Regions from separate parts of the Mus musculus genome. Here regions 1, 2, 3, 4 and 5 are each reported to be linked to region 6. The links are microRNA targets in miRTarBase. Many come from high-throughput screens and were not tested one by one. Region 6 holds a microRNA gene; each other region holds the end of a gene's coding sequence.

The links. The annotated mature microRNA mmu-miR-182-5p reads UUUGGCAAUGGUAGAACUCACACCG and lies in region 6 at 2,177-2,201, shown strand. An mRNA with a match to its seed (bases 2 to 7 or 8) in the 3' UTR can be bound and repressed. Matches are read on the target gene's strand: a 7mer-m8 pairs with bases 2 to 8, a 7mer-A1 pairs with bases 2 to 7 and ends in A, and an 8mer does both.
Region 1: the mRNA of Akt1 is a reported target of mmu-miR-182-5p. The part of its 3' UTR that is shown has no 7-base or 8-base seed match.
Region 2: miRTarBase lists Myod1 as a target of mmu-miR-182-5p. The part of its 3' UTR that is shown has no 7-base or 8-base seed match.
Region 3: miRTarBase lists Tbx1 as a target of mmu-miR-182-5p. Seed matches in the 3' UTR shown: 7mer-A1 at 2,337-2,343.
Region 4: the mRNA of Srrm1 is a reported target of mmu-miR-182-5p. Seed matches in the 3' UTR shown: 7mer-A1 at 2,588-2,594.
Region 5: the mRNA of Fbxw7 is a reported target of mmu-miR-182-5p. Seed matches in the 3' UTR shown: 7mer-m8 at 2,160-2,166 and 7mer-m8 at 2,150-2,156.

What each region holds. Positions count from the first base shown.
Region 1 is chr12:112,651,963-112,655,084 of GRCm38, reverse strand. Akt1 (thymoma viral proto-oncogene 1) reads left to right here. Exons shown (of 14, transcript NM_009652.3): 14 at 308-1,264. The coding sequence ends at 387. Among named protein-coding and RNA genes, the nearest start is that of Mir6939, 5.8 kb to the left of the region's middle.
Region 2 is chr7:46,378,083-46,381,204 of GRCm38, forward strand. It overlaps Myod1 (myogenic differentiation 1), which reads left to right. Exons shown (of 3, transcript NM_010866.2): 3 at 62-1,010. The coding sequence ends at 312. Among named protein-coding and RNA genes, the nearest start is that of Myod1, 3.2 kb to the left of the region's middle.
Region 3 is chr16:18,579,570-18,582,682 of GRCm38, forward strand. Tbx1 (T-box 1) reads right to left here. Exons shown (of 7, transcript NM_011532.2): 7 at 2,135-2,887. The coding sequence ends at 2,424. Among named protein-coding and RNA genes, the nearest start is that of Tbx1, 5.8 kb to the right of the region's middle.
Region 4 is chr4:135,318,530-135,321,529 of GRCm38, forward strand. It overlaps Srrm1 (serine/arginine repetitive matrix 1), which reads right to left. Exons shown (of 18, transcript NM_016799.4): 18 at 1,956-2,925. The coding sequence ends at 2,818. Among named protein-coding and RNA genes, the nearest start is that of Gm12984, 14 kb to the left of the region's middle.
Region 5 is chr3:84,977,173-84,980,294 of GRCm38, reverse strand. It overlaps Fbxw7 (F-box and WD-40 domain protein 7), which reads right to left. Exons shown (of 14, transcript NM_001177773.1): 14 at 1,097-3,022. The coding sequence ends at 2,754. Among named protein-coding and RNA genes, the nearest start is that of Gm30944, 44 kb to the left of the region's middle.
Region 6 is chr6:30,165,041-30,168,162 of GRCm38, reverse strand. It overlaps Mir182 (microRNA 182), which reads left to right and starts at 2,171; the gene lies at 2,171-2,245. All of the region lies in intron 1 of Mirc35hg (microRNA cluster 35, host gene), which reads left to right.

The DNA.
Region 1 (3,122 bases), not on the chromosome of region 6:
ACTCCTGCTTTTTTTGGGGGGGAACTGGAGTTAACAGGTGGTTGTGAGTAGCCACGTGGGCACTGGAACTGAACCCGGGTCCTCTACCAGAGCAGCCAGTGCTCTTAACCACTAAGCTCTCTCTCAGCCCCAAAACTAAAAGAATCAAACAAACCCTTTGGAGGGTGGTAGCAGCTTGGCGGGGAGGGAGGGAGTGTTCTGAGGGCCAGAGTCACTGCCCCCTCACAGGGCCCCCTTGTATCCTCTGGCATGTGTCAGGTGGGCGGGCTGTTTCTAGAGATGGTCTGAGCCCTCCTGTGGCCCACAGATGACAGCATGGAGTGTGTGGACAGTGAGCGGAGGCCGCACTTCCCCCAGTTCTCCTACTCAGCCAGTGGCACAGCCTGAGGCCTGGGGCAGCGGCTGGCAGCTCCACGCTCCTCTGCATTGCCGAGTCCAGAAGCCCCGCATGGATCATCTGAACCTGATGTTTTGTTTCTCGGATGCGCTGGGGAGGAACCTTGCCAGCCTCCAGGACCAGGGGAGGATGTTTCTACTGTGGGCAGCAGCCTACCTCCCAGCCAGGTCAGGAGGAAAACTATCCTGGGGTTTTTCTTAATTTATTTCATCCAGTTTGAGACCACACATGTGGCCTCAGTGCCCAGAACAATTAGATTCATGTAGAAAACTATTAAGGACTGACGCGACCATGTGCAATGTGGGCTCATGGGTCTGGGTGGGTCCCGTCACTGCCCCCATTGGCCTGTCCACCCTGGCCGCCACCTGTCTCTAGGGTCCAGGGCCAAAGTCCAGCAAGAAGGCACCAGAAGCACCCCCCTGTGGTATGCTAACTGGCCCTCTCCCTCTGGGCGGGGAGAGGTCACAGCTGCTTCAGCCCTAGGGCTGGATGGGATGGCCAGGGCTCAAGTGAGGTTGACAGAGGAACAAGAATCCAGTTTGTTGCTGTGTCCCATGCTGTTCAGAGACATTTAGGGGATTTTAATCTTGGTGACAGGAGAGCCCCTGCCCTCCCGCACCCGCTCCCGCGTGGTGGCTCTTAGCGGGTACCCTGGGAGCGCCTGCCTCACGTGAGCCCTTCTCCTAGCACTTGTCCTTTTAGATGCTTTCCCTCTCCCGCTGTCCGTCACCCTGGCCTGTCCCCTCCCGGCCAGACGCTGGCCATTGCTGCACCATGTCGTTTTTTACAACATTCAGCTTCAGCATTTTTACTATTATAATAAGAAACTGTCCCTCCAAATTCAATAAAAATTGCTTTTCAAGCTTGTGGTTTGCTTTCTGGTGTGGAGCGTCACAGCCTTGTTAGTGGGTGGGAGGTGAAGGGGTGTGGCTGGGGTCACATCAGGGTGGGTCCTGGGAACTGGTCCCTGAGGCTCCAGGGGATGTCGTCCTCATGGCAGGACACTCCTGACAGAAGTGGGAGGATCTTGACTGTCTCTGGAGTCTACTCTTGCAGTGACCCTCCCTGGCCATCTAAGACACCTGCCAGCCCCAGCTGTCGTGTGTCTGGCAGAGCAATAAGCCAGGCCCTGATACCAGGAAGGATAATGCGCTGGCGATACAGTTCAAAAAGGCTCAGGAGGCTTTGGTTGAGGTGACATAGCACATCTGTGACTGAACAGAACTGGGGACTGTTCTGGGTCTGGACAGAGGTGACAGGAACCAAGGTCACTCTAGAGTGTCTGCGATCCTGAGTCCAAGCCGCCACCAAGATATACTGAGTATGTTGCTGGTGACACCTGGTGACTACTGGTGGAACTGCAGCAAGCAACAGCAACTGCTCAGCAAAACATTTAGAGGCCTCCAGCCAGATGGCCTCCCCTAAGGCATGGACTACACATATACAGAGCCTAGTGGCTGGTGGCCTTGCTGGGATGGTGTCTGACTCCTGCAAAGTTAGGGTGGGTGATGATCTGGACCTCTGGAAAATAAGAATATCCACTTCTATAACAGCCAAAGATTTTCTCTAGATGACCACAAGCCCTCTGGAACCGTACACAGCATTGCCTACTTTGGGTTTGTTTGTTTGTTTGTTTAGAGACAGGGTTTCTCTGAATAGCCCTGGCTGTCCTGGAACTCACTTTGTAGACCAGGCTGGCCTCGAACTCAGAAATCTGCCTGCCTCTGCCTCCCAAGTGCTAGGATTAAAGGCGTGCGCCACCACTGCCCAGCACTTACTGACTTTGAAGTAAGATTTATAGACAACACCGGCTGGGTAAACACCTTTAGTCCTAGCACTTGAGTTCAAGGCCAGCAAGGTCAATGTAGCAAGATCCAGTCAGGAGGGAAGAGAGGGAGGGAAGGAGGAAGGAAGGAAATAAGGACTGTAGTGCTTTCTGTGGCCCTCAGACTTAGCACTAAATCTTACCTAAAGTGGCTGAAACGTAGAAACAAACACAGCTAAAGCCAGGGCTGGGCCGGCTACAGGCTGCTCTTTCCACAAGACCCCTCAGGTATGTGTCTCTAGTACAGAGGAGGGAGCCCTGAAGTTGTGCCCTCAACACAGAGGTGGGCAAAGCTCTCTTCCTGAGCCCACTGTTACTCATGAAAGCTGCCCAACATGATCATTGTAGGTGAGAGCGGACATCTAGGGAATGCTCTTGGGAAGTGGTACCCTCTCCCCGAAGACAGGCCTGGCCTAGCCTGAACCACCAGAGCAGATAGGGGATAGACCCTGTGGCCATGGTAGGGTCTGGTAAGCTTAAATGAGGTAAGTAATTCATAAGGCAGGAAGTAGAATGGTGCTTGCTAGGGTGGAGATCGGTGGGAATGAGGTGTGTAGCCACTTGATGACTATAGTTTCCATTTAGGGAAATGACCTACACTAAGGCCAAGAAAGGAGGGAGCAAAGTTTACTATTTGTCTTATGGGAACCGAGTTGAAACAAGACCTTTTGAGTTCTGTTCTAGGATATAGTTAAGTGTTTGTAGTATAGCACTAGAGAGATGTGAGCAAACACCTATTCACCCCAGCTAAGGAACCAATGACAGCAGAGTACAGATACCACCAAAGCCCGACCTGGAGGACCAGTGAGTTTGACAGTGGCATATGAGAATATAGGTTGTTTACAGGAACAGAGATGACTCAGAAGACAGCTGCATTGCCAAGGCATGGGTGACAGCTCA
Region 2 (3,122 bases), not on the chromosome of region 6:
TGGGCAGGAGACTTGAGAAGGGCCGCAAGTTTGGATTACTAACCTTCCACTCCCCTCACAGAGTCCAGGCCAGGGAAGAGTGCGGCTGTGTCGAGCCTCGACTGCCTGTCCAGCATAGTGGAGCGCATCTCCACAGACAGCCCCGCTGCGCCTGCGCTGCTTTTGGCAGATGCACCACCAGAGTCGCCTCCGGGTCCGCCAGAGGGGGCATCCCTAAGCGACACAGAACAGGGAACCCAGACCCCGTCTCCCGACGCCGCCCCTCAGTGTCCTGCAGGCTCAAACCCCAATGCGATTTATCAGGTGCTTTGAGAGATCGACTGCAGCAGCAGAGGGCGCACCACCGTAGGCACTCCTGGGGATGGTGTCCCTGGTTCTTCACGCCCAAAAGATGAAGCTTAAATGACACTCTTCCCAACTGTCCTTTCGAAGCCGTTCTTCCAGAGGGAAGGGAAGAGCAGAAGTCTGTCCTAGATCCAGCCCCAAAGAAAGGACATAGTCCTTTTTGTTGTTGTTGTTGTAGTCCTTCAGTTGTTTGTTTGTTTTTTCATGCGGCTCACAGCGAAGGCCACTTGCACTCTGGCTGCACCTCACTGGGCCAGAGCTGATCCTTGAGTGGCCAGGCGCTCTTCCTTTCCTCATAGCACAGGGGTGAGCCTTGCACACCTAAGCCCTGCCCTCCACATCCTTTTGTTTGTCACTTTCTGGAGCCCTCCTGGCACCCACTTTTCCCCACAGCTTGCGGAGGCCACTCAGGTCTCAGGTGTAACAGGTGTAACCATACCCCACTCTCCCCCTTCCCGCGGTTCAGGACCACTTATTTTTTTATATAAGACTTTTGTAATCTATTCGTGTAAATAAGAGTTGCTTGGCCAGAGCGGGAGCCCCTTGGGCTATATTTATCTCCCAGGCATGCTGTGTAGTGCAACAAAAACTTTGTATGTTTATTCCTCAAGCGGGCGAGCCTCGAGGCTCGCTCGCTCAGGTGTTGGAAATAAAGACGCTAATTTATACAAAGTGGCTCTGGCTTTTCCTAAGGGGATCAGAAAGAAACTCTACGAACTGGGCGGGCTGTCTCGCAGCGACCCCTGTAGGTGGCAGAAGGGTAGCACGGAGGCTGGGTAGTGCTGGGTAATGAAGAAGGGCTGGCAGACCTCCAGCTGTAGGGAATTCCCCAGGCCTTGCCTGCCGCACCCAAGAAAACCAGTGGCTCCGGTGGAAAGATGCACGTAGGTTGATGTTCGTTTAAAAATACAAAAAGCCAGATGTGGCGGCTCATCCCTGTAATCTCAACATATTTGAGAAGCCGAGGCAGGAGGATGGAGGCAAGCTGGAGGCCACCCTGGCGATAAAGACATAACCTCTTTAAAATACAAAATTAAAAGTTGGTGTTAAGGAGGTGCTCAGGTGATAGAGCACTTGCCTAGCATGCACAAAATCCCAGGCTCAGTCCCCAGCACCATATCAACCTGTCATGGGGGACACAGCTGTAGTTTCAAGGCCCGGAAGGTAACACAGGAAAATCAGAAGTGTGTGGCCATCCTTAGCTACACAGCAAGTTCCAGGCCAGTCTGGGATACATGAAACCCTGCCCGTAGAATAATGGATTAATTAAAAAAAAAAAAAAACAACCAAAAAACTAGTTCTACCCATTTAAGATTCTGGCAGAATGAGTCTGTCTAGGACCAGTTATTGTTACTTTCCAAAGTCTCCTTTTAGGGACTCCCAAGTGTGTGCTAAGCTGAGAATGGCTCCCATCCACACAGTGTGTCCAGAAGGCTCTGTGAGAGCGTATGGCCCTGGATCCACACAACACCCTCACACGTGTGGAGGAGGGTGGGAAGATACAGTGCAAGAAGAGACAGCTAAAGGGCCCTGGGGATGGGTTATGAGCCATGTGGTGTATGCAAGCCCTTAACGATAGTGGGACTGCACAGGGACAGCACAGTCAGGAGCCAACCCTCAGAACATCTTCCACTGTCTCATCTCATTCGAAGATAGAGGCTCAGAGCCTGTGGGAGGAGGGAGGGGCAGAAGGGACCAGTATATCTCTAGAGTTGTGGTGCTTCCATCAGACTGTGTAGAGGGCAGGGGGAGGCCATTGGTGCAGCCAGAGTGCAAGGTGAGCTTTCTGGACAAAGTGCTATTCAGATGTGTCAGGAGAGACAAGTGTAGGCAATGCACAATGGCCGTGAGGGACCACACACACACACACACACACACACACACACACACACACCTCTATTCTTCCCTGGAGTGGCCTGGCATACATTCTCCCTCCCTTTAACACTTGTCCCTAGGCCCTCAGTACCTCCTGCATTCCTTTTGTACAGATCCTCTCCTTAACTTCCCATAGGCCAGGTTCAAGACACAGAAAAGACACCTTCAGGAAGGACCACTGCATGCAGAGAGTGGACTCTGCCTACCCTGCAAGACCATCCTGGAGGAGATGCTCAGAGCTTTTCCGTTACTCTGATGTTCCATTGGCCTCTCAGAGCTCTGTAGGGTTCCTTACACACTCTCTCGAGGCCCCTCAGGGATCAGTCATAACTTGTCCATTGGACATATGCCAATCCTGTCCTCAAGGGGAAGAGGCCACTGAACACACGTCCTCCCTTTGGGAGGCAACCAGACACTTGGGGGTTGAGCCTCTTCACAATTGGTCGCATCATGATCGATGACACATAGAACACAGACCGTGCATACGGACAGGAGCAGTAACACAAGCAGAGAGCTGCCAGGGAGAATCCTGAAGGGACTGGACAGCAGAGGGAGCTCACAGCTGAGGCACAGCAAGCACAAAAAGAGTGGGGCAACCTTGTAGACCCACAGCTCCTCATGAGAAGGAGCTTAGGAACACCGAGATGAGACAGGACCACATGGGCCTTGGCTGAGCTGCGTTCGGAGGGTAGCGGGGAGTTGCAGAGGGATCAACCCAGGGAAAGAACAGAAATAAATCTGCATTTTAGAATGATCCATTTGGACTGGTAGAGCAAACAGGAGGGAACAAGATGAGACAGATGCTTTGTGACTTTCCTGGGGGGAGGTGAACATATATCACCTCATAGAGAGAGGAAGCCAACAGCCCAAAGATTTCATCCATTCCAGCATGGCAAATGAAT
Region 3 (3,113 bases), not on the chromosome of region 6:
AGGGGTCCCTCTGAAATTTTTTTTAATTTTTATTTTATATCTATGAGTGTTTTGCCTTTGCACCATGTGTGTGCAGTGCCCATGAAGGCTAGAGGAAGGCATCTACTGTAGCTCCTAAAATTGGAGTTACAGGTGGTTGTGAAACACTGTGCTGTGCTGAGAACTGGACTCCAGGCCTTTGGAAGAGCAGCGGGCGTTCTTAACCACTGAACCATCTCTTTGGAGCCTGTGTCTTTTATCTGGGTACTAATCCTTCTCAGTGGATCCTTGGGCACCTGCTCCTGCCACCCCCCAACATCATTGCCACCCCTGATTAAGGCTCTACCTCCAAACACCATCAATACCATCGTATTCAGGTGTGCGAAGTCTGAACTGGAGAATGTACACATTCAGAAAACAAGGCAGGGCACGGTGACACATTCCTTGAATCTTAGCCCTCATGAGGCAGAGAAACCAAAAGAAGCCAGATGGACAGATGAGATGGGCCATCACAGAAGAAGAAATTTCTGGAAAGCCATTTCTTATATGGCAGCCAAGGGCTGTTTGGCGGCAGCTGCCCATAGAGGGGTCAGCAGTGCCAAGCAGTAAAGGAGAGGGAGGACATGACAGCAGTGTGCCCTTGCCCAGCCTCCTGTTTACAAGATGTGCTAAGGTTCATCCCTGGGACAGAGAGGAGAAGCCCTGAACTTTGAGAGTCCCTTCCTTTGCTGCCTCTGGTCAACACAGTGCCTGAGTACCTAGCACTAGGAATCACACCAGTGAGTGTACTAGCAGTGGCCCAGCTCTCCTGATGAATGAGCCAGCTCTGGGAGCAGGGATATTTTCAAGGTCAGTGAATTGCACTTAGGGTCTCTGCTCTCTGTGTGTGTTCCACCCCTGCTTACAAAAACCCGGGTGCTGCGACAGCTCACTTCAGCTTAAATAACACAGACATGGAGGTTCTAATGAAACAGCTCTGCCCCACATCCCTGGCATGTTAAAAGAATGTGAAATGGCTGCATTCCATGAGGGAGAGGGGCAGCCTGAAGCTGACCATTGCCCTCTGCAGGACAAACCCCAGGCTACTCCAGGAGACATAGAGTGTCTTTGGTTTCCCAGGCCAGTGTGGAACAGGTGGCCTTGAGTCCACTGTCACCTATAGAAAGAAGCTTGCATTTGAAGGAAGGTCAGGGGAGGAGTTGAGAATGAATGTCCATAGATGTACTCAAGGGGGTGTCCCTATAGCTTTGTCCCCTCTGGTCATATAGACTAGATGCTCTTGGAAGGAATGGGGTGACCACCCAACCTGGGACAGATCAGACATGAGACTAAGTTGGACTGACTTGGGGTTGACATGTGGAAGTGCCCAAGGAAGGCATGTCTCTGATGGCAGCAAGTGCCATGAACACACTGAAACAGAAGGCCAGGGATAGAACCTGACATTTCCCATTTATTTGAGGCATAAGCCAGCCTTAACTCTGGCTGGCCTTCAGTTGGCCCTTCCTGCTGGGGCTCAGGAAGGGAGGGATCAAAGGGTTCCTTTGGCCACTTTGATGGTGTTGAGTTAATGGGGAGTCAGGTCACCCGGCCACCTGGCCTGGGAAAAATTGCTTCACACGGGAGTTTCAAGATGACTCATGACCACTGTCATTGTGCGCCCCCACCCCCAATAACTCTGTGGGGACATTCAGTGAATAAAGTCAATAAACAGGGGAAACGAAATTCTGGGCTGGTGCCAGGCCAGGGCAACGCTGGAAGAGCCGAGCCCGCGGCTTGTTTCTGTCTTTCCGCATGCCATCCGAGGCCGGATGGACAGTGTCCTGTCCCGAACATCATTCCTGGCTTTCACGGAAAAACTTATAGGCCTAGTCCGGTAAACAGGTCAGCGTGCAGGCCCAAGTCCTGCACCCGCAGCTGCAGGTGTGGTGAGCTGAAGTGAAAGCCGCTGCCTGCCCCGGAAAACCGAATGCTCAGCCTGTAGTGGACCCAGGGAGCTGAGGGAGGGAGGCAGCGACCCCAAGGGGAGGGAGGGGCGATTAGAGCTGGGGAGACCCTCACTCCACACCCACACCAGTGACCAGGGCTGGGAAGACTAAGTCTCTGTGTCCCAAAGCCGCCCGGCCCATTCGAATTAGATGCAAAAGAATAGCCACACCGGCAATTTCCAAAAGAGGCAAAACCGTTTATGAAATCGGCGCCGGTGCAGTATCTACAGTATCTACACATATCTACACGTATCTACACCGCCCGCAGGCGGGGCTCTCTCGGTCGTCTACACTGCAATTGCCGGCCGGGCCGGAGGCGACGAGGTCTCGCGGAGAACAATAAATACCACTTCCTTCCGCCTGGACGGGAGCTTTGGCACTGGCGGGCGGGAAACCCGCATGGCTCCCCAGATGGGGAGCGCGTCCTTGGATGGCCCTCGGGGTCGGCGCGCGGGCGCACTATCTGGGGCAGTAGTCGTAGGCACCGGGCGGCGCGGCCGCCGACGAGTACACGTTGGCTGCTGCGGCAGCAGCGGCGGCGGCGGCCGGGTTCACCGCGGGGTGGTGGTGATGGTGCGGGTGCGCGTGCGGGTGCGCGTGCGGGTGGTAGCCGTGGCCGCGCAGGCCTGGCAGCGGGTAGGGCGCCGGCCGGCTCTTGGCCCCGAGGTAGTGGTCGTAGGCGGCGGCCGGGTACTTGTAGGGATGGTGGTGCAGCGGCTCGGACGCGCCCGGCGCCTCCAGGCGCAGATCGGCGTGCGGGGGACTGTGGCGGCCTCCGGATCCGCCGGGTAGCGGGACGAGGCCGCCAGGCCCGGGCAGTGCGGGGCTCAGCACGCGCGCCAGCAGCTGCGGCGGGTGCGTAGCGTCGCCGAGCGCTGCGGGTCCGGAGTCACGGTCGAACTCGCGCCGGGCTTCTGCAGCGTCTGCGGGGAGAGCCGGGGGTGAGCGCAGGGCAGAGACCGTCGGGGCGCACCTGCGGAGCCACAGCCCCCACCTCCACCCCGGCCCGCGCCGTCCGGGGAGCGGCGGGCGGGAGAGCGAGTGCCCGCTTGCCCGCCCGTCGCCTCCCTGTGCAACTCTGAAGCACTGACGCCCGGGGGTGTGGGCGAGGCCGGGTGCGGCGGCAGACCCGGGAGAAGCGAGTGCGCA
Region 4 (3,000 bases), not on the chromosome of region 6:
CTGATTGGCCTGGAAATTGCCTGGAAATTGCTATGTAGATCAGGCTGTCCCTCCACTCCCAGTGGGCTCCGTGAATGACTACGATGTACATGTGATGTCTCACCTTACGGTTTTATGCTGATTCACCATTTAATTTATGAGGACACTATAGAAATGATGCTAAACAGAGGTCCAAATTCTAGTAACTTCTATGTTCAGAAATGGGTCAGGAAACGATGGCCGAGCCTTCAAGATGAAGACGGTGCCGAGGAAGCTGACCGCCTCCTGTGCTTGAGTCCAGTTAGTGCTGCTGGCTGAGATGCTGACTGATCTTGCTGGCGTGGCCTTGTGCAGTAACTCTAGCTTCTGTTGAGTTCACAAGCAACTAACTAGGGGGGAAGGCCCTTCTGCTGTTGCCTAAGTTACAGACATGTGCTCCATTTTTGAGATGGGACTCAAAAATGAGTAGAGACTGGGTTAGCCTCTAAACAGCTTCAACTAGCTGTATAGGCAAGGACTGCTGTCAGGTTTCAGTTGGAAAGAATGAAAGCTCCTGTGTTGCATGGGTCAGCCACAAATGTTCCAACTGTCAGGCTAAACAGAAGCAAATACTCCGACTGTTTATACAGGGAGTCCGCATTGTAGTCGCTCAACACTGCTTCTCCTGTCTCACACGGGGTTGGTTTCCACATGGAAGAACACAGAAAGCTCTGCACATGAGACTATTCCCAGCTCTAGAGTCCTCTAGGATTGTCTTCACTGAGTACCTTGTTTCTTCATTATAACTCACTGTAGGTTCCATGTAAAACCAGCTCACTGCTTAAGTCTTTTGATTTAGTTTAGTTTTTTTTTTTTTGAGACAGGGTTTCTCTGTGTAGCCCTGGCTGTCCTGGAACTCATTCTGTAGACCAGGCTGCCCTCAAACTCAGAAATCTGCCGGCCTCTGCCTCCTGAATGCTGGGATTAAAGGAGTAAACCACTACAAAAGGCCCCAGATTTGTTTTTTTTAATTTCACATGCATTGCTGTTTTGTCTGCACGTTATGTCTGTGTGAGGGTGTCCGATACCCTGGAACTGCAGTTACAATCAAGAGTTGCCATATGGGTGCCGGGAGTTGAACTCGGTCGGGTCCTCTGGAAGAGCAGCAATACTTCCAACCACTGAGCCACCCCACCTCTCCAGTCCAGCTCCAGATTCATTTTTAACGAGAAAGCTGTCTTTATATGTGTAACTTTAGGGTAAATGTTGGGGATTATAAAGAAATATGTGGAATCATTAAATTTCCCAGGTTTTTTTCACTGCCCCTCTCCTGGTCACTCCACCCCCACAATTCTTTCCCCGTTCCCCTTCCCTTCTCTTCTGAGCTGGTGTGGGTCCAGATTCTTAATCCAGGGCTTTCTGAAGGGGCCTTCTAGGTTCGAGCCTGGCCCTACCGAAGTCTTAAGTGTCTGTCTTTTGGTTAAAAGTCATAAACAGGGCCGGGCAGTGGTGGCGCACACCTTTAATCCCAGCACTTGGGAGACAGAGACAAGTGGATTTCTGAGTTCGAGGCCAGCCTGGTCTACAGAGTGAGTTCCAGGACGGCCAGGGCTATACAGAGAAACCCTGTCTCAGTCAAAAAACAAAACACCCTTAGGCTTTCCTGAAATTCAGATGTGGGCATTTTGTATTCTAGTTTCATCTATTAGAAGTCACAATCAAATTTATCTGTGCCTCCAAAGACTAGGCTCAGACTTCTGGTGTCACAAGCTTCAGGTCCAAGTGCCACCTGGGAGGTCCTTCACACTGACACCATGCCCTGCTGTAAACTGCCTCTCTCCTCACCAGCTTTCCATGTTCCAAGAACACACCCCCCTCTCCCTTGCTGACATCTCTGCAGTTAGTTATTTCAGTAAGAAGGGGAGAGCCTGCGACATCACTTTCTATTTTCCCTGAACTCCGTCCTCCCCTGCAGGCGAATAAATGTGAGTGGCAATGTTCTTAAATTTAGAAATTTATTCTGTTTAATCCACAAGCTTTATATAGCTTTAGTTAAAAAATAAAATAAAATAAAACAGTGAAACCAAGACACTGTCCAGGCCCTTCCAGCCCGCCAAATACACGAGCTCTTCAGTTGTGGGTACCAATTGGATGAGTAAGGAGAAACATGACGGGAGCCACCGGGTTCCATAAACAAATTTCTATAACTGAAGGGTCCATCCTGGGTCTAGGGAATCGCCTTTACACAGAGAAGAAAAGGGCGAAGGAAACAAAACAACCCTACCTGGAGGAGAAACCCAGATCCAAATCAGCTTAGGCTGCGCTGTCCCACAGGGCAGCCCTGCAGCTCTAGGGCTGGGATCCTGCCACACAGCAGACTCCACAGACAAAAGAGTGAACACTCACTCGTTCATTCAAACTTTTGTGGTACTTCAACAGTGGTCTCACTTCTGGGCAAGCTTACAAACCTATACAAGGTTGGAAGCATAATTTATGTGGATGCTAAAATTCAAGAGAAAAGGGAGGAAAACAAAACAAAACAACCTCTTGGGAGAGGTAAGGGCATTTAAAGGAACCACAAGAATGCCAACAATAGTCAAACCCCCTTTTTTAAAAAAGAGATTTTTTTTTTGGCATAAAATATTTCACTCTAAATGTCAATGGAAGAATGTCACTAATACACCGTGGACGCCTTTGTAATGTAAATCCATGCCCCCCATTTTTTTTAAACATGGTGAACTTCAACCTAGCAATTATTACAACAAATGTTATAGTCTAAAGCTCAAACACATTTTAGCAATTTTGAAATTGAATTGAGTACAAACCAAATAAAATTTACAACATAACAAACATGTCCGCTTAGGACTGTGGGGACACTTGAGCCTTCCGCATGGACCGCAGGGCCTTCTCCCGCAGGTGCCTCTCTAGGTCATCAAGGTTGTCATCTTCAGCTTCACTCTCAGTCTCCTGAAAAACAAACCCAACCCAGGCACATATTAAGTCTTGAGACACAGTGGGGCCCGAGTACAGCAACTGCACAGC
Region 5 (3,122 bases), not on the chromosome of region 6:
AGTGCCTCTTTATGCTCAGGGTCCACTTTAAGATAGAGTGTGACTTAGCCTTTGAGCAGTGTCGCTGTGATAGTTTGTACATGCTTGGCCCACAAAGTGGCACCATTAGGAGGTGTGGCCTTGTTGGAGTAAGTGTCACTGTGGGCATGGGCTTTAAGGCCCTTGTCTTAGTTGCCTGGAAGCAAGTCTTCTCCTAGCAACCTTAGTTGAAGATGTAGACTCTCAGCTCCTCCTGCACCATGACTGTCTAGTCGCTGCCATGCTCCCACCTTGATGATAATGGACTGAACCTCTCTGAGCCTGCAAGCCAGCCCATTATAACGTTATCCTTATAAGAGTTGCCTTGGTCATGGTGTCTTTTCACAGCAGTGAAACCCTAACTAAGACAGTGGCTCTGTGAATAAAGAGGACAGATGCTGTGGCTATGAGAACCTCATTCTCTACAGAGAAAGACTCCATGTTTATTTAAGATTTATTTCCTATAGCCTGGGTTATTGAGATTATTAGAGATGTATGCCTTTCTAGCCTCTATAAAAGCAGAAGAGTAAATACTATAAAAAACAAAACAAGACAAGGCATTTCCCCTCAAACCTTGTTTTAGTTTGCTAGCATTTCATCAGAGGCAGCGTACACTCAGCCTTTGGGAACGAGTTCAATCCTGCCATCCCGCGACTTCATCTAAGGCACCACCTAAGCTGTCTGAGCTGAAGCTCTCAGGGCCATCTGAGTCAAAGGTGACAGAGGCTACTTCTCTCAGCCTGAGAGAAGAATGGTGCGAGTGCTTTGGTGAACACTTGGTATATGGGATTTGAAGGTGAACTCATTATTACAAGGCTTCTAGTTGTAATTCCAAGTTTTATGACTGAAGAAACGAGCTTTCATGTTCATACACACAATGCAAACAGAAGAGTGGCCTCCCTGACAGCTCGGGGTGCCATCTGCAGTGCCTCAGCTTTGGCTGAGCTCGGAAGTGCTGGTTTCTAAGTCACAATGCAGGGGATGTAAGAAACCCAAAACTTGACTATTTAAAATATCTGACACAAATACTATATAGTTATAATGAAACAGTATTATCTAGTGGAAGAAACAGGCGCAATAACATGAAAAAACACATTTTATTGCACTTAAGTTATAAGAAAATAAAATTTCTAAGTGAATCAAACCATAGACACAATCCCTTTACAGGTTGTTTCCTCCATCACGTCAGGTTGTTACATAACTAAAATTAACCAACTTGAATCTGATTGTTTTAAATCAGACTATAAATAAAACAAACAAAAAATAAACAGGAGGAGGAAAAAAAAGACGGCCTAGGATACAGTGTTAACCACTTTCACAGTTCAGCTTGAGTTACGGCTCCTGGTGAATGAGGCGGACCATCTGACTCCCGCTCTCTTGCTCGTCGAGCTGGTAGGCGAGTGACAGACAGCGTCACTGCAGAGCGAATTCCTCTCACGTCAGTCACTCAGAGCAATGAAACTGTAACAGTTGTTTTCCCCAATACTGTAAGATGCTACGACTGACCAGCAACCTCCTTTTCCTTTGTGTTTTATATATCTTTAAAATATCTTGTCAGTTTTGCTATGTATGTTCTTCCATTCACCACAGCCCTCAAAAAGAAGTTTCTCCACAGAACAGGCACCTCAGGCTCTGTCCCAAGGAATGTGTTTTAATTTTTGCCCAGATAAAAGAAAATAAGCTTTGCACACACTCTCAATTCTTTATTTGCAGGCAAACTTCACTCTTTATTATCTGAAACTTTTCCATTCTCAGCCTCTTAGAGGCACAGATGGCTCAAGTTTCAGTGGCAAAAAAGTCTTTTTTTTCTGTAACCAAACTAGAGCAAATTTGGAATTCAGTCTGGGACTAAAACGTCACAGCAGAAAAAAAATAAAAAAAAAATAATTTGCTTTTTCTTTCTTTCATTTAGCAGCATAAATAAGTTTGGCCACTGGGAGTACAGTACAGGGGTGGGACAACGACCCCGGATTTGAAGACCTACTTCTAGCACCAGCATCAAGAATTATATCCATCTCAGGACTCACACAACCCAGGACAACTTGCCACCTTTGAGCAACATATGCATTGAAGAGTAGAAGCAACAGTAAAGAGATAGATTAACAGAGGCTAATACTGTGATTGATTGACATTGGCAATGGTTGGCAAAAAAAAAAAAGAAAAAAGAAAAGAAGAGAAACAGGAAAAAGAGAAAAAAGAAAGCTTCATGATAACTGTACAAAAACAATTCACAGTAATTGTTTTAAGCTTTTCCACTTCAGAAAAATGACGGTTTGTTGCAGATGCTCTGATTAGAAGATAAGCAGCCCGTGTTTGGATATTACTGCCACTCCTTTCTAGGTGACGGTAACAACGCTGATGTAGCTCTGCTCAATGACCACTGGAGAAGAAAACAAAGAATAATTGCACCTGGTTGGATTTAGAGAGTCGTCTTGCCAAGCTGCCCCTCAGTCACAAGTGAGGCCTTTGCGAGATGCGACAGCTGCCGCCTCCTGTCAGTTACGGTCTCTTGTCTCTTCTTGCCTTCTTAGTCTGTAGGTCTTTTCAGTCTGTTGTCCCAAGCCAACATCCTGCACCACTGAGTACAAGGGATTTTTTTCCTTTTCTTTTTTCTCTTTTTTTTTTTCTGTTTTTTTTTTTCATTTTTTTGTTTGTTTGTTTTTGTTTTTTGCGCAGGGGGAAGGGTAGGGAGTATATTGTCTACACAGTTGGACAAAATTCATCATGTCTGCTTTTCATTTCATGTCCACATCAAAGTCCAGCACCAGGAGCTTGGTTTCCTCAGTTCCATTCCGACTCCCGACTGCACACACCAGCTTTGTGTTTGAGGCCCTGATCCGCCACACAACTCCCCCGCTCCCCCCACTCTCCAATGTGACGAGGTTTCGGATAAATTCACCCGTTTTCAAGTCCCAGAGTTTGACCGTTCCGTCGTCTGAGCTGGTAATTACGAAGTTCTTGTTGAACTGTAAGCAGGTCACAGCGCTCTGATGCTTGCTGGGACCTAGGCAAAGGCAAATGCGGGTTACTGCTTAGGAAGGACGTTCAGGGCTTCTGCGTGGGACTTGTGCTCTTCTACATTATGGCATACAAGAAATGCAGTA
Region 6 (3,122 bases):
AAAAGGAAGGACAGGAAGAGACCTCACCGCCTCACCCTGGTGAGGTCTCTGTTTCGGGTCTTGCCTCTGTGAACCCAACTCTGCTCCTGTCCAGCACTCAGGGGGCCACTCAGAGCTGGGTCCCTCTAACCAAAGCAGTCCTCAGACCCCTAGTGGTCCTGCCTCTCACACTGGCCTTGGTGGAGGCTTTGCTGAGACCTCACTAGCAGGTGTTGGTATGGCCCAGTTCTATACTTCTTTCCAGGCTCAGGGCTCCACCCCTCTGGGGCCTGCATTCCCAAAGGATGACCACTGGCCATAGCTTTCTGGTTCTCCTCATCTAGCCTGTTCTCGACCTGGGTGAAAGTTCACCTATAGTAGTGACTGCCGGTGAGCAGAGGCCACAAGGCTGGTTGGACTCCGCAGAAAATCAGCTTCCAGAGGACCATGCTGGTGAGGGTGCGGTAGGAGGGGAGGGCTCACCCTGTCAAGCAGGACCAGTTTCTTCCTGGCTGTCTGATCCTGCGGAAGGATTTACCCTTACCCTCTCAGGGCAGTTGGTGCAGTTTAATCCACTGGGGACCTTCTTATATTGTTCGGGCTCGGTGGCTCCTAGGTGCCTGAGTTGCTGCCTCCTGGGTAGGCTCCTTGCCTCATTGCCTGGTGTTGGGGTTGCCTGGGCCAGCCGCTCCCCAGAGTCCCTGTGAGGTGGATTATTCCAGACTTTCGCCCTTCCCCCACCCCTGCATTTGCTTATTCAATCCAGGCCATTATCCGGGTCCCTGCCCCAGCTCTGCAGTCCTCTGGCTCTTGGAAATGCGATCTGGCTCCATTGATCGCAGGCAGGCGGGGCTGCTCGCTCCCAGCCTAGCTAGTGTGGCCCGAGATTGAGCAGTTAGGGGTGCTGACAGGATAGGACCCTCCCCGCTCACACTGGAGTGGAGGGAGTGACCCACTCAACTCACCAGTGGCTTGCCTTAACACTTTATAATGTGATAAAAATGTGTGGCCTGCCTTTGGGAGGTATGTGGCCAAGAAACCAAGGTCCTGCTTGTGTCCCCACTGGGGACACACTCTAGGTCAAGGTTTCAAGGAGCTTCCTTGCCAAGCAGATCACCCCAGCCCCTGAACTCAGTACTGGGATCACAGATGTGGCCCACAATTCTGGCCCAGCTATAAAGCAAGTTTTTCTCTGGGCAGTGGAGTCATCTCAGCACCCAAGCTTAGGCCACTGGCAGTGACCAGCTTGAGTGTCCAGGGTTCGTCTGCATCTCTGCCCTTCCAAAACATCATCTTTGGGTCCTTCATCCTCCCTGCCCTGCAGGAGGACAGAGGGACCGGTGGCATTTCCATCACTGGCCCTGCCAGCCAGCAGTTCCTCTAGATTTATGGAAATGAATCCATGGGTGGTTTGGGGGCAAAGAAGTGTACCATCTTTGGGGTTCCTTGAAGGCTGCAGGGGTGTGTGTCTTTTTGGAAGGGATGGGTAAGGAAATCTCTGCACTTGGGAGAATGCTGTGTGGATGTGCTAATGCAGCTGTGTTCCGCTTGGCTGGCCCTGCTAGACTGCAGTGATGGCTGTCTAGACTCTCCAGAGAAGGTCTTAGCCTAGGGTTCTTCCTCCCCAGCCTCAGGGAGGAGACCACAGGCCGGGCAGTGGTTTGCCTGTGGCTTGACAAGGAAGTGGGATCTATGCATTGACCTTTTACCTCCCTCCCGGTGGGGGGGTGGGACAGCTGAGGAACTTTAGGCTCTGGGGAATGTCAGGAAGGGATTAAACAGGATGCCACCTGGGGGCCTTGGTAGATGGCAAGCTGGCCCCATGCCACTCTCTTCCTTGGTTACCAAGCAGGGGACTCCCTGACCCAGAGTGCACCCATTCCCAAGCTCCCACTGGCAGGTTCCTGGGGTACAGTGCCTTTGAGAGCAGTGGCTATGGCTCCATCACTGCCTAATGCCCCTACACAGGGACTGTGGGTCGTGGGGAGGGGGGGAGGTGGTCGTGGGGTGGGGGGGAGGTGGCTGGAGGGCAGGCAGGGCTTGAGGAGGTTTTACACTGGAACAGGACCATACAGGCCGAAGGACCATAGTCTGGACCTTGTGTTAACTGTGGGAAGAGCGCCCTCCTAAAACCACCCTAACTGCTTCTTCTTCAGCATAGGCTTACTGGTCTGGCTGCTGGAGGCCTCCCACCATTTTTGGCAATGGTAGAACTCACACCGGTAAGGTAATGGGACCCGGTGGTTCTAGACTTGCCAACTATGGTGTAAGTGCTGAGCTGCTGAAGGTCTGCACCGTGCCGGAACCTGCCGATCACCAGGAAGGAGAGGGGACTCCTGTCTCCAGACCACCAGGCAGTGGCAGAGGGTGGGCGCAGCTGGAAGTGACCCTTAATGTTTCCCTGCGCCCCCCTGAGGTCACAAGTCATGAAGTCGACCTCTTCTCGGTGAAAAGGACTTGGGATCCAGCCTTGCTCCAGGGTGGCCCTCACAGGGATGGTGGGAATCCTAAGCTTGGTGAGGGAGAGACAGATGGCTTTTCCTCTCCCGCCCTCAACCCCTGAGGGCTGTTCTTCAGGTAGGTTCTGAGGCCACAAGGAAGTGTCTTCTGGTCTATGCGATCCCCTTTTGGAGCTTCTGGCTGGGGTGTGAGGGTGGAGATGGCATACTCTCCACTCAGACATCTAGGAATCTTGCCCAGGCCCTAGAAGGGTAAAGGAATGAAGGCTCCCATATGGACGGAGTGTGTTGAGGTCATCTGGAGCTGCGGCCTCTGTGTTAGCCCCTCCAGCTCGCTGCTTTGTGGCTAGGCTGCTGACACCTGAGCACAGAGGGGCGCAGTGAGAGTGTGCTGACAGTCTAGACTGCAGGTTCCTACAACTCAACTCTGGAGTTAGGGCCAGTGACTATCCTAGATGGAGGACCTTGGTGGGGTGGGCCTGTTTGGGAAGTCTGGGCCCTAGGGTTGATTTCCTGTCTCTATAGGTAACCAAGGCAGCTGCCCTGGGAGCTACACATGTTTGTGACTCTGCAGATGCACGACTGTATGTGTGACCTTAGTTAAAGTCTTTCTCTCTCTAAGGACACCCCAGGACCTCAGTTATTTTTTTTTTTAATATTTATTTATTTTATTTATTTATTTAT